Linked DNA regions of Nothobranchius furzeri. The protein of the gene in region 1 interacts with the protein of each later gene in a biochemical or structural test. Links are inferred from orthologs where the notes say so. Each region holds a gene or a part of one and is shown on either strand. Other genes may lie near its edges. The genes, in order: ifih1 and trim65.

Region 1 (4,328 bases):
ACATGTCATAACGCAATCAAAACAATGACTTTTAGAGCAATTAATCAAGTGATAAATGATATATAATGTGATATGAACCTTTAAATGTATGGAAAAGAATTGAGATGAGAGGTTTTGGACTACGTAAGGCATAAAGAATGACTCTGAACAGGAATTTGAAGGTCTAAACTGAAATGTAAGATAGACTAAACAAACTGGAGCCACGTTTTTACAGTGTAGTTGAAGTGAAGTGGGGCAGAAGACAAACTTTAAAGAGCAAGTCACCCCCAAATAAACTTTTTTTTGCTGATAAGCTAAATAAAGGAGTGTCTAATCGTGCTGCAGACACGTGTCGTCAATAATTTGGCACTTCAGTGCATCTCAGTTAAAATTTAAATATTCTGCCTAAAACTGGCAGTGTTGTGCCGTTGTCAGGTAAAAACTCTGCACTGTATTGATGTTAGCTGGTACATTATGATGTCACAATGCCATTGTGAGCCTGTGTGGGTGTATTTGTTAGCGGCTCCGCCCTCTCAGTCTGCCAGGCAACAGCATTTGTTGCATTTTTCAAACTTGAAGTGGGAGTGAAGTAAGTTTCTCGTAGGGGATGACTTGCTCTTTAAACATCGTCAAAAGATTTTTTTTCCTGAAACTGATGACATGAAAGTTCAACATAATTTGTAATGTGTTCTACAACCAGGTTTTTGGGGGAATTGCACCGTAGAGAAAGCTTATTTTCCTCCTGATCTGTGTAAACAGCATTCACTGTTTGCAGAAAGATTTGGAAACGACTGACAACACAGCTGTCGCAGCAGCAATTACATTGGTAACACATTACAATAAGGGTCCCTTTCTAACATTACTAAGTGCACTACTAAGCATTAACCCTTTATAGGGCCAACATCTATATTTAGACACTTCCACTCACATCAAGGGTCCTTTATTGTGTTACTATACAACAGAGCCAAAAGGGAGAATAAAAAACAAAGAATAAAGAGCAAAAAAAAAGAAAGCATAATGCAGACATACTTTTAAAATAAAATAAATAAACATAGAAATATTGAATATTTACATGTTTTAAGAAATAAAAAAATGAAACCAAATTGCAGAGTATTTACAGGGAATGGGAAAATCAATGGAAGAAATAATTTAAGCAGTATAACAGAAAATGTTCTGCACTTAAATAGAAAAGCCCTAATGATACAAAAGTAGATTTGCATTTACAGAAGTGTGAGATTCAGATTTTCTGGGACTTGTAAAAATATTGTGTTGCAACAGTGCCACCTAGTGGCATATTTTGGTTTTGATTTCTGCTCAAACGAAAGTGAAACAAAACAGCTGTTTTCCTGGAAAACACGAGGGCGGTAAGTGACCATTTAAGGCGTTCCCCGTGTCTTTAAACCTCTTCATGACTGTAGGTGTGTTGTTCTCGGACAGGTGAGGGATCATGGAGCCTGACAGGGGTGAAGAGCAGCTCGCTGAAAACTTAAGACAGCGACTCCGGATCATGGAGCCTGACAAGGACGAACAGCAAGAGGAGCTCATTAAAACCTTCAGACATAGACTGAAGGAAAAGATATCAGTGGGGCCGGTGCTGAACCATTTATATTTTATTTCACATGAAGATAAGGAGCGGATTTTGCAGAAGCTGAAGACAGAGGGTGATGCATCTGCTGCGAACCAACTTATTGACGTTGTCCTTAAGAAACCACACCCTGAAGGCTGGTTCAGGGCCTTCGTGGACGCTTTAATACATGGAGATTCGAAATACGCTGCTATGGTCTTGGAAGGCTCTCCTAAACCCGAGGAAGAGGAAGAGAATGACTACTGTGTAGCACTTGTGAGGTTACTGGCTCCAAGTCTTGTTCAAATGAAGACAGCTGACGTTTGCTGTGAGTGTTTCTCTCTGGGGCTGCTCGGCCAGGACGACAACGACAAGGTAAGTCCATTCAGTTGTCTGAGTAGCATTTATCTCTTTGGCCACTAGATGGCAGCAGAACGCAGTCTTGGATTCTGTTCAGGTGAATAAATCCACTTATTGTGTCTAAACTTACATCAAGGTTTTAGCTGAAATTGATACTCAAGGACCCGGACGTGGGGCCGGGGAACTTCTGAGGAGAATCGTGAGACGCCCACCTGGATGGTTCTCCACATTTCTACAAGTTCTGAAAAAAACAGAACACTATCCCCTACTTAGAGAACTGACCGGAGACCCACATTGGTGTGAGCAGCAGGGTGAGACTGGAGCACTCATTGATCACGAGACAATTTTTTTGCACACTTTTGGCATCTTTAATTCATCTAAGCAATCAGTATCAATAGCTATTCACATTTTTTATAATGTCAGATAGTTCTATTGTTGTCTTTTGTTAAAGTTTATGTCTTAATATACTCATACCATCTTTAACTATGGACTTGCAGGTCATTCAGGTGCAGCTTCCGGTCAGGAAGCAGTGAGCTGTGACAACACAGTGTCTATGGAGATCAGTGTGACAGAGGAGCCTGATAATGACTCAACAGGTTATAATAATAATAATAATAATAATAGTTGATTTTGTCCATTTTCAGTATTATCATCTTCCACCAGAGGGCAGAAGACACACAATTTAGTTTAGCATGTATTTAAAGATTGATCTCCAGCTGCTTCTGTTGTGCAGAAATCACGCTAAAGTATCCCGTGGTACTGCCTTGTTGGATATTTTAGGATCAGCCTGTGTCTGATTAAAACATTAAGAATGAATACAAATGTATTTTTTGAACAGACAGCACCAAGTTTAGTAGGGCAGGTGGGGGTTCGCGTTTTGTTACATAGCTGTATATAGCAGCATGCAGAGCCCAGAATAAAGTTTAAAATTCAGCCACTTGAGTTTATTTGAACTAAACTTGGTTTATGTTTCAGGTCTGTATGCAAGTGCTGAACCGTCCAAAAGCATAGATGGCTTGCCTCCAGGTGGGATTCATTCACTCTCCATTTCATGGCATTAAGACCCCCAAACTTAGTAATAAAAGAAAATCTGTTTGTTTATCCACACTAAACTACTTGCAAAAACTTTGCTCTTGTTCCAGGAAAATGCAAGATAGTGTTTGTTCAGAATGAAATTAGTTGGAACATTTCTATAGCATCAATAAATAAGTTCCATGTGTTAACCGAGGAACCGCAGAGAGGTCGTAGAGGGCGGAATATGTTGGCGCGTCAAATGAAAACCACATGGTGAATCCATTTTAATGGATCTTTAGGGGAATCTGTGAAGTCCAGCCCTCCACAACACCTCTGGGCTTTTACGTCATAAGTTCATTCCCTTTCCAGCTCCTTAGGGGAGACCGAAGGAGAGGTTAGAAGATCTGATCTCCTGTCAATCACACAAGAATGCTTTTCCTCTGTCTTTAAAGTATTTTTGGACCAACCGGGTTTTGGGAATGTTGCCGGAAAACCATAAAGACACAAGTACACTCCTAAGAAGTTAAATTTGTTTGACAGAGTTATGTCAGCTGGTTCCACTGAAACTGTTGATTTAATTTAAATAATAATAAATATTTTTATGTGTTGGAATGTTAAAAGTACATTTATATTACTCTTACATTCAAAGCAACACTTTATACGTTTTCTGCTTCTCCTATTGGTTGAAAGTCAAAGTCAAATGTATTTATAAAGCACATTTAAAATAGCATGGCAGCCTACCAAAGTGCTGAACTGGAAGGGTAACGAGTCAAAACAGAGAAAAAGATTAAAACACATAACAAACAATAAATAGTAAAACCTCATTTAAATAAGCAATGAGGGGGAAAACTGTCCATGTTAAAGACATACAAACAACCTCAACCATGCGGCGTACTACTGGGTTGAGTATCCCACAGTCAAGGTAGATTAATGGCCCAAAGCCATTTTAAAATGGTGATTTTTCAGGGCAGAGTTAAAACATGCTAGCGAGGGAGTCGGATAGACAGACAGAGGAAGAGCGTTCCATCATTTCAGAGCAGCAAAGCCCGTTCATCACATGATTTATATGGGAGAACAGCAAATGCAGAAGGTAGGGATCTTGTTGGGGCATGCCGGTTTAGCTGTACAGACGGGGGTTGCGGTGCTTGTTTATTGAGGACTTTTAAGTGAAAAGAACTTTGAATTGGATCCTGTAAACAGCAGGCAGCCAATGCAACTGTTCCAGCATGGGGGCGATGTGATTCCTTCTGTTTGAAAGCGGAATGGCATCCGGAGGAAAGAACCCTTCTGCAGCATGCTGTTGCTAGCGCTAACAGTGAGCTAACGCTAACATGAGCTAACTCATTAAATAAGCTATGAAGTAAAAAGATCCACACTTCTGGACAAAACATTGTTACTTACGAGTCCAGTA
Region 2 (4,418 bases), on another chromosome or scaffold:
TTCCCCCACAGATCACAACATGCCCTACAGGTTAAAATGTGTATGTTGCTTTGGATAAAAGCATCTGCCAAATAAATAAACATAAACATTAGAAAAAAAGAAGAGAGAAAAAGAAAAATTATGACATATTAGAATTTAACATACAACATTTACATGAGATTCAAATAAGTAGGTATATAATTACCCACTGCTCATCAAAATACATATTTGTAGTGATTAATTATATCACAACAGCTGTAAAGGCATGGGGGCTTTCATGTCTTTAATGTTAACACTTGTCAGTGTCTACAAGGCATCAGTACAATACTTGCATGTTTGTGTGTGTGTGTGTGTGTGTGTGGGGGGGGGGGGGGTTCGTGCAAGAATTATCTAGAAGTAAAATAAATCATAGAATCTAAAACAGTTATGAGGGCTTTCGTTTAAAGAGCAAGTCACCCCCTACCAGATTCTTACTCCACTCCCACTTCCTGTTTGGAAAATGCAACAAATGCTGTTGCCTAGCAGACCGAGAGGGTGGAGCCGCTAACAAATACACACACTCACGACATTGTGACATCATAATGTACCATCTAACATCATAGTGTACTTCTTAGCCAATAGCGATGGCAGATTTAAATTCAAATGTAGACGGTGCATCGCTGACAGTTTTAAGGAGAATTTTTAAATTTTAACTAAGATGAACTAAAATGCCGAATTATTGACGACACGTGGCTGCAGCACAATCAGAAACCCATTTATATAGTTTATCAACAAAAAAAATGTTGATTTGGAGTGACTTGCTCTTTAAAATAGCACCCCCTACAAGAGACTTACTTCACTCCCACTTAATGTTTGAAAAAATGCAACAAATGTTGCCTGGCAGACCGAGAGGGCGGAGCTGCTAACAAATACACAAACACACAGGCTTACAATGGCATTGTGACATCATAATGTACCAGTTTACATCGTAGCATACCTCTTAGCCAATAGCGGTGGCTGATTTAAATTCAAATACAGTGCAGTTTTTACCTGACGACAGCACAACACTGACAGTTTTAGGCAGAATATTTAAAATTTAACTAAAATGCACTGAAGTTCCAAATTATTTACTACACATGTCTGCAGCACGATTAGACACTCATTCATGTTGTTTATCAGCAAATAAAAAGTTGGTTTGGGGGTGACTTGCTCTTTAAATACGTATATTAGTCCACAAACCTCTGAGACTAACGTGAGGACTGGAGGTGATTGACACTCATCAGTAGGAGTAGAAAATTTTATAAAGTTAAAAGCATCAGAGGAACAAATTCACCAGCATTGCTGTTGTGATCATAACTGCACGTATGGATTATCCCGGTTCAGTGACTATTGAACACATTAAAGTTCTGTTTAAAAAATCATTTTTCTCGTCTTTGTTTTTTACGACAGCCCCTGAAGGCGCCATGTTTGCGTACGTCGTCATGACGCACGCTTACGCATTTTTGACATGAATGTATGGTATGTATTGAAGTGGTGAGTGTTATTGTAGTGTACTTGTGTTATATCCTTGTGGTCAGGCGTGAATGTGAAGTTGAACCGTTTTAACATTTTTATCCGACTTTATATTCGCTACCGGAAGGAATTCTGGCCAACATGTTTATGTAGGCTAACGTTAGCTAGCTGGCCGTCTCTCTCTCACCGTGTAAATTATTACTTGGTTTTAGTTTCGTGTCCACTGGCTCTACGATAATAGGAATGTTCTGGGAAATAAAGGCTTTTGGTGTCAGTACTATCAGTGCAGTACTAACTAATCTCGCCTGTTTATTGTGATTGTCCAACAGCTATCAAATAATCAAAGTTTTTGCCCTTTTTTCTGCAGAAATTTCTGCTTCTTCTGCAAACATGGAGTCTCAGAATTCAAATCTAACCTGTGCCATATGCTTGGACCGCTTCAAAGTCCCTGTCACCATTCCCTGTGGTCACACCTTCTGTAAGAACTGCATCACCCTTCACTGGGACACCAAGAGCAAGTCTGACATCGGACCCCAGTGTCCCATCTGCAACGAGGAGTTCCCCACCAGGCCCATCCTGAAGCGTAACGTGTCCCTGTCGGTCCTGACGGAGGCTGCAATCAGCACCGGTCCCTCCTGCAGAGAGCCTCAGGGGAGGGGAGGCGATGGGGCAAAAGCCATGCAGCTGTGTGATCGACACAAGAAGCCCCTGGTTCAATACTGCAAACAAGACAAGAAGCCTGTGTGCCCTGAATGCAGCATCTCAGAATGCAAGAACCACCAGAAGGAGTCACTGGAGGTGGAGAGGGAAAATCAAAAGGTATAGTAATAGATTACACAAACAAGTCATTCAGAGCTATTATCAACATTGTCTCACACTTTTCTCCTGTTTTTGAGTTTATCACATACATGATTTTGCAAATCTATTTCATCAAAGGTAACCTGAGGTAATGTTAATAAAGATTACGGATGTATCCGAACCAGCCTGGACCAAAGCGAAAAGTAATTATCCCCTAAACCGACTGGTTCCAGTGTTGGTGAGAACTGGTAGCAAGTCTTTCCCATCACTGCTGAGGAGTTTTGTTCCCCTCTTCTTATTTGAGTTCTGCCACAACAGAAGGAAAGGGCTGTTTCAGGTCAAAGGTCAGACAGTCTCCCGGATGTTCTGCTAGAGAACAGAATTCATGGTTCCATCAGGTGCAGCGGGTGGTCCAGGTCCTGAAGCAGCAGAGCAGCCTCAGACCATCACACTACCACCACCATGCTTTAGTGTTTGATTCCAGAGTGGGATGCTCACCTTCCAGATGTTGCTGCTCTGGTCTCATCAGTCCTACCCAGAAGTCTTTGAGAACATCCAGATGTGTTTGGTCACCAGAGGTTCCTTTAAAAAGGACACAATGTGCTGATTTTTAAAATCTTTTAGCTTACTTGATGTGAGAGTGGCCTCTGAAACTAAACTCTGCTTTCTAAATGAGGCCAGAACGCTTCCACACGGGACCGGGTTGGCTGGGATTACTGCTTCCTAATAAGTGAAATCTTTGTTTGATATAGACATTTTCATTTGCCTATCTGAAAATTTTAGGCGACCAAAACTTAAAGTCAGAAATCCATAAGATGAAAAATCATTTTTCACGGTACGGTAATGTCACGGTCTCTTCCTAAAACCCAGTTTCCATTACAGCTGCTGCTGAACAGTAAAGGGAAGGAGGTGCAGAAGCTCCTGGAGGAGACACAGAAGAGCATCAGCGACCTGGCTGAGAACATCAACCACGCTAAGGTGAACCTTCTGCTTTCTGCTGACGTGACCTAGAACCGGCTTGAAACTGGAATCAGAACACAGCAAAGCAGACATGTGATTCTCCACCCATAGGTGTCCCTTGAGCAGACTTCATCCTGGATGAAGCTGAAGTTCTCCACCTTGATAAAAACCCTGAGTGAGAAGCAGGAGGCCACAGAGCTGTTCCTTCTGGAGCAGAAGGAGACCGCCATCAGTGAGGCAGAGGCGCGTCTGGCCCAGCTCATGGAGAACTCCCAGATTCTCAAAGAGAGCCAGGTCCAGATAGCAGCTCTGAGCACCCTATCTGACACCGACTTCATTAGGGTGTGTACCTCCGTCTTCACATATGACCAGAGTCCTTTAAACCCGGTCCCCCTGACTGAGAGCAGGGTTCTGTACAGGTCTGCTGATGTTGTTTTGGACCAGAAGTCCTTCTGTGAGTATTTTAGAGTCAATAAAGAATGAATGCATACTTAAAAAGCCCTTAAGGCAGCATGATAAGAAACCGAGATGTTACATAAACACTGCATGTAAAGTCTTCAGTGGTGACTTTAACGTCCTAGCTGGTGTCTGAGTCCAGATGAGAGGCGTGGGACACCCTGTGTATTTATTATTGTTTTCAGTAAGAACATAAAAGTCTGATTGCAATCTAAAATCTTTGAGTAATTGTTATTTTCTGGAAAATGTGAATAAGTATGTAAACCTTTGGACCCTCCCATTAGTGAGGAATATGAAATCACTCTGTGATCGTTTGTTTGTCAGATGTCAGCTGGAGGTGATGAAAGGGTTCACTTTAGAACATGGGCAGAACATGCTAACTCCACACAGGCGTGGGGAGAACATGCTAACTCCACACAGGCATGGGGAGAACATGCTAACTCCACACAAGTGTTGGCAGAACATGCTAACTCCACACAGGCTTGGGGAGAACATACTAACTCCACACAGGCGTGGGGAGAACATGCTAACTCCACACAGGCGTGGGGAGAACATGCTAACTCCACACAGGCATGGGGAGAACTTGCTAACTCCACACAGGCATGGGGAGAACATGCTAACTCCACACAAGTGTTGGCAGAACATGCTAACTCCACTCAGGCGTGGGGAGAACATACTAACTCCACACAGGCGTGGGGAGAACATGCTAACTCCACACAGGCGTGGGGAGAACA

Evidence for each region.
Region 2: of the proteins of ifih1 (region 1) and trim65, one has a biochemical effect on the other in vitro, tested with the Homo sapiens proteins (2 studies listed by BioGRID, with this or other methods). The link is inferred for Nothobranchius furzeri from reciprocal best matches to the Homo sapiens genes IFIH1 and TRIM65.

What each region holds. Positions count from the first base shown.
Region 1 is NC_091754.1:19,531,259-19,535,586, reverse strand, and holds the start of ifih1 (interferon-induced helicase C domain-containing protein 1), read left to right. Parts: upstream 1-1,296; 5' UTR 1,297-1,343; intron 1,344-1,416; 5' UTR 1,417-1,426; coding exon 1,427-1,918; intron 1,919-2,039; coding exon 2,040-2,214; intron 2,215-2,400; coding exon 2,401-2,499; intron 2,500-2,878; coding exon 2,879-2,929; intron 2,930-4,328.
Region 2 is NC_091756.1:21,648,130-21,652,547, forward strand, and holds the start of trim65 (E3 ubiquitin-protein ligase TRIM65), read left to right. Parts: upstream 1-1,421; 5' UTR 1,422-1,469; coding exon 1,470-1,476; exon of another isoform or gene 1,477-1,491; intron 1,492-1,604; exon of another isoform or gene 1,605-1,740; intron 1,741-1,837; coding exon 1,838-2,289; intron 2,290-3,150; coding exon 3,151-3,246; intron 3,247-3,339; coding exon 3,340-3,570; intron 3,571-4,418. UniProt on the Homo sapiens protein: E3 ubiquitin ligase that plays a role in several processes including innate immnity, autophagy or inflammation.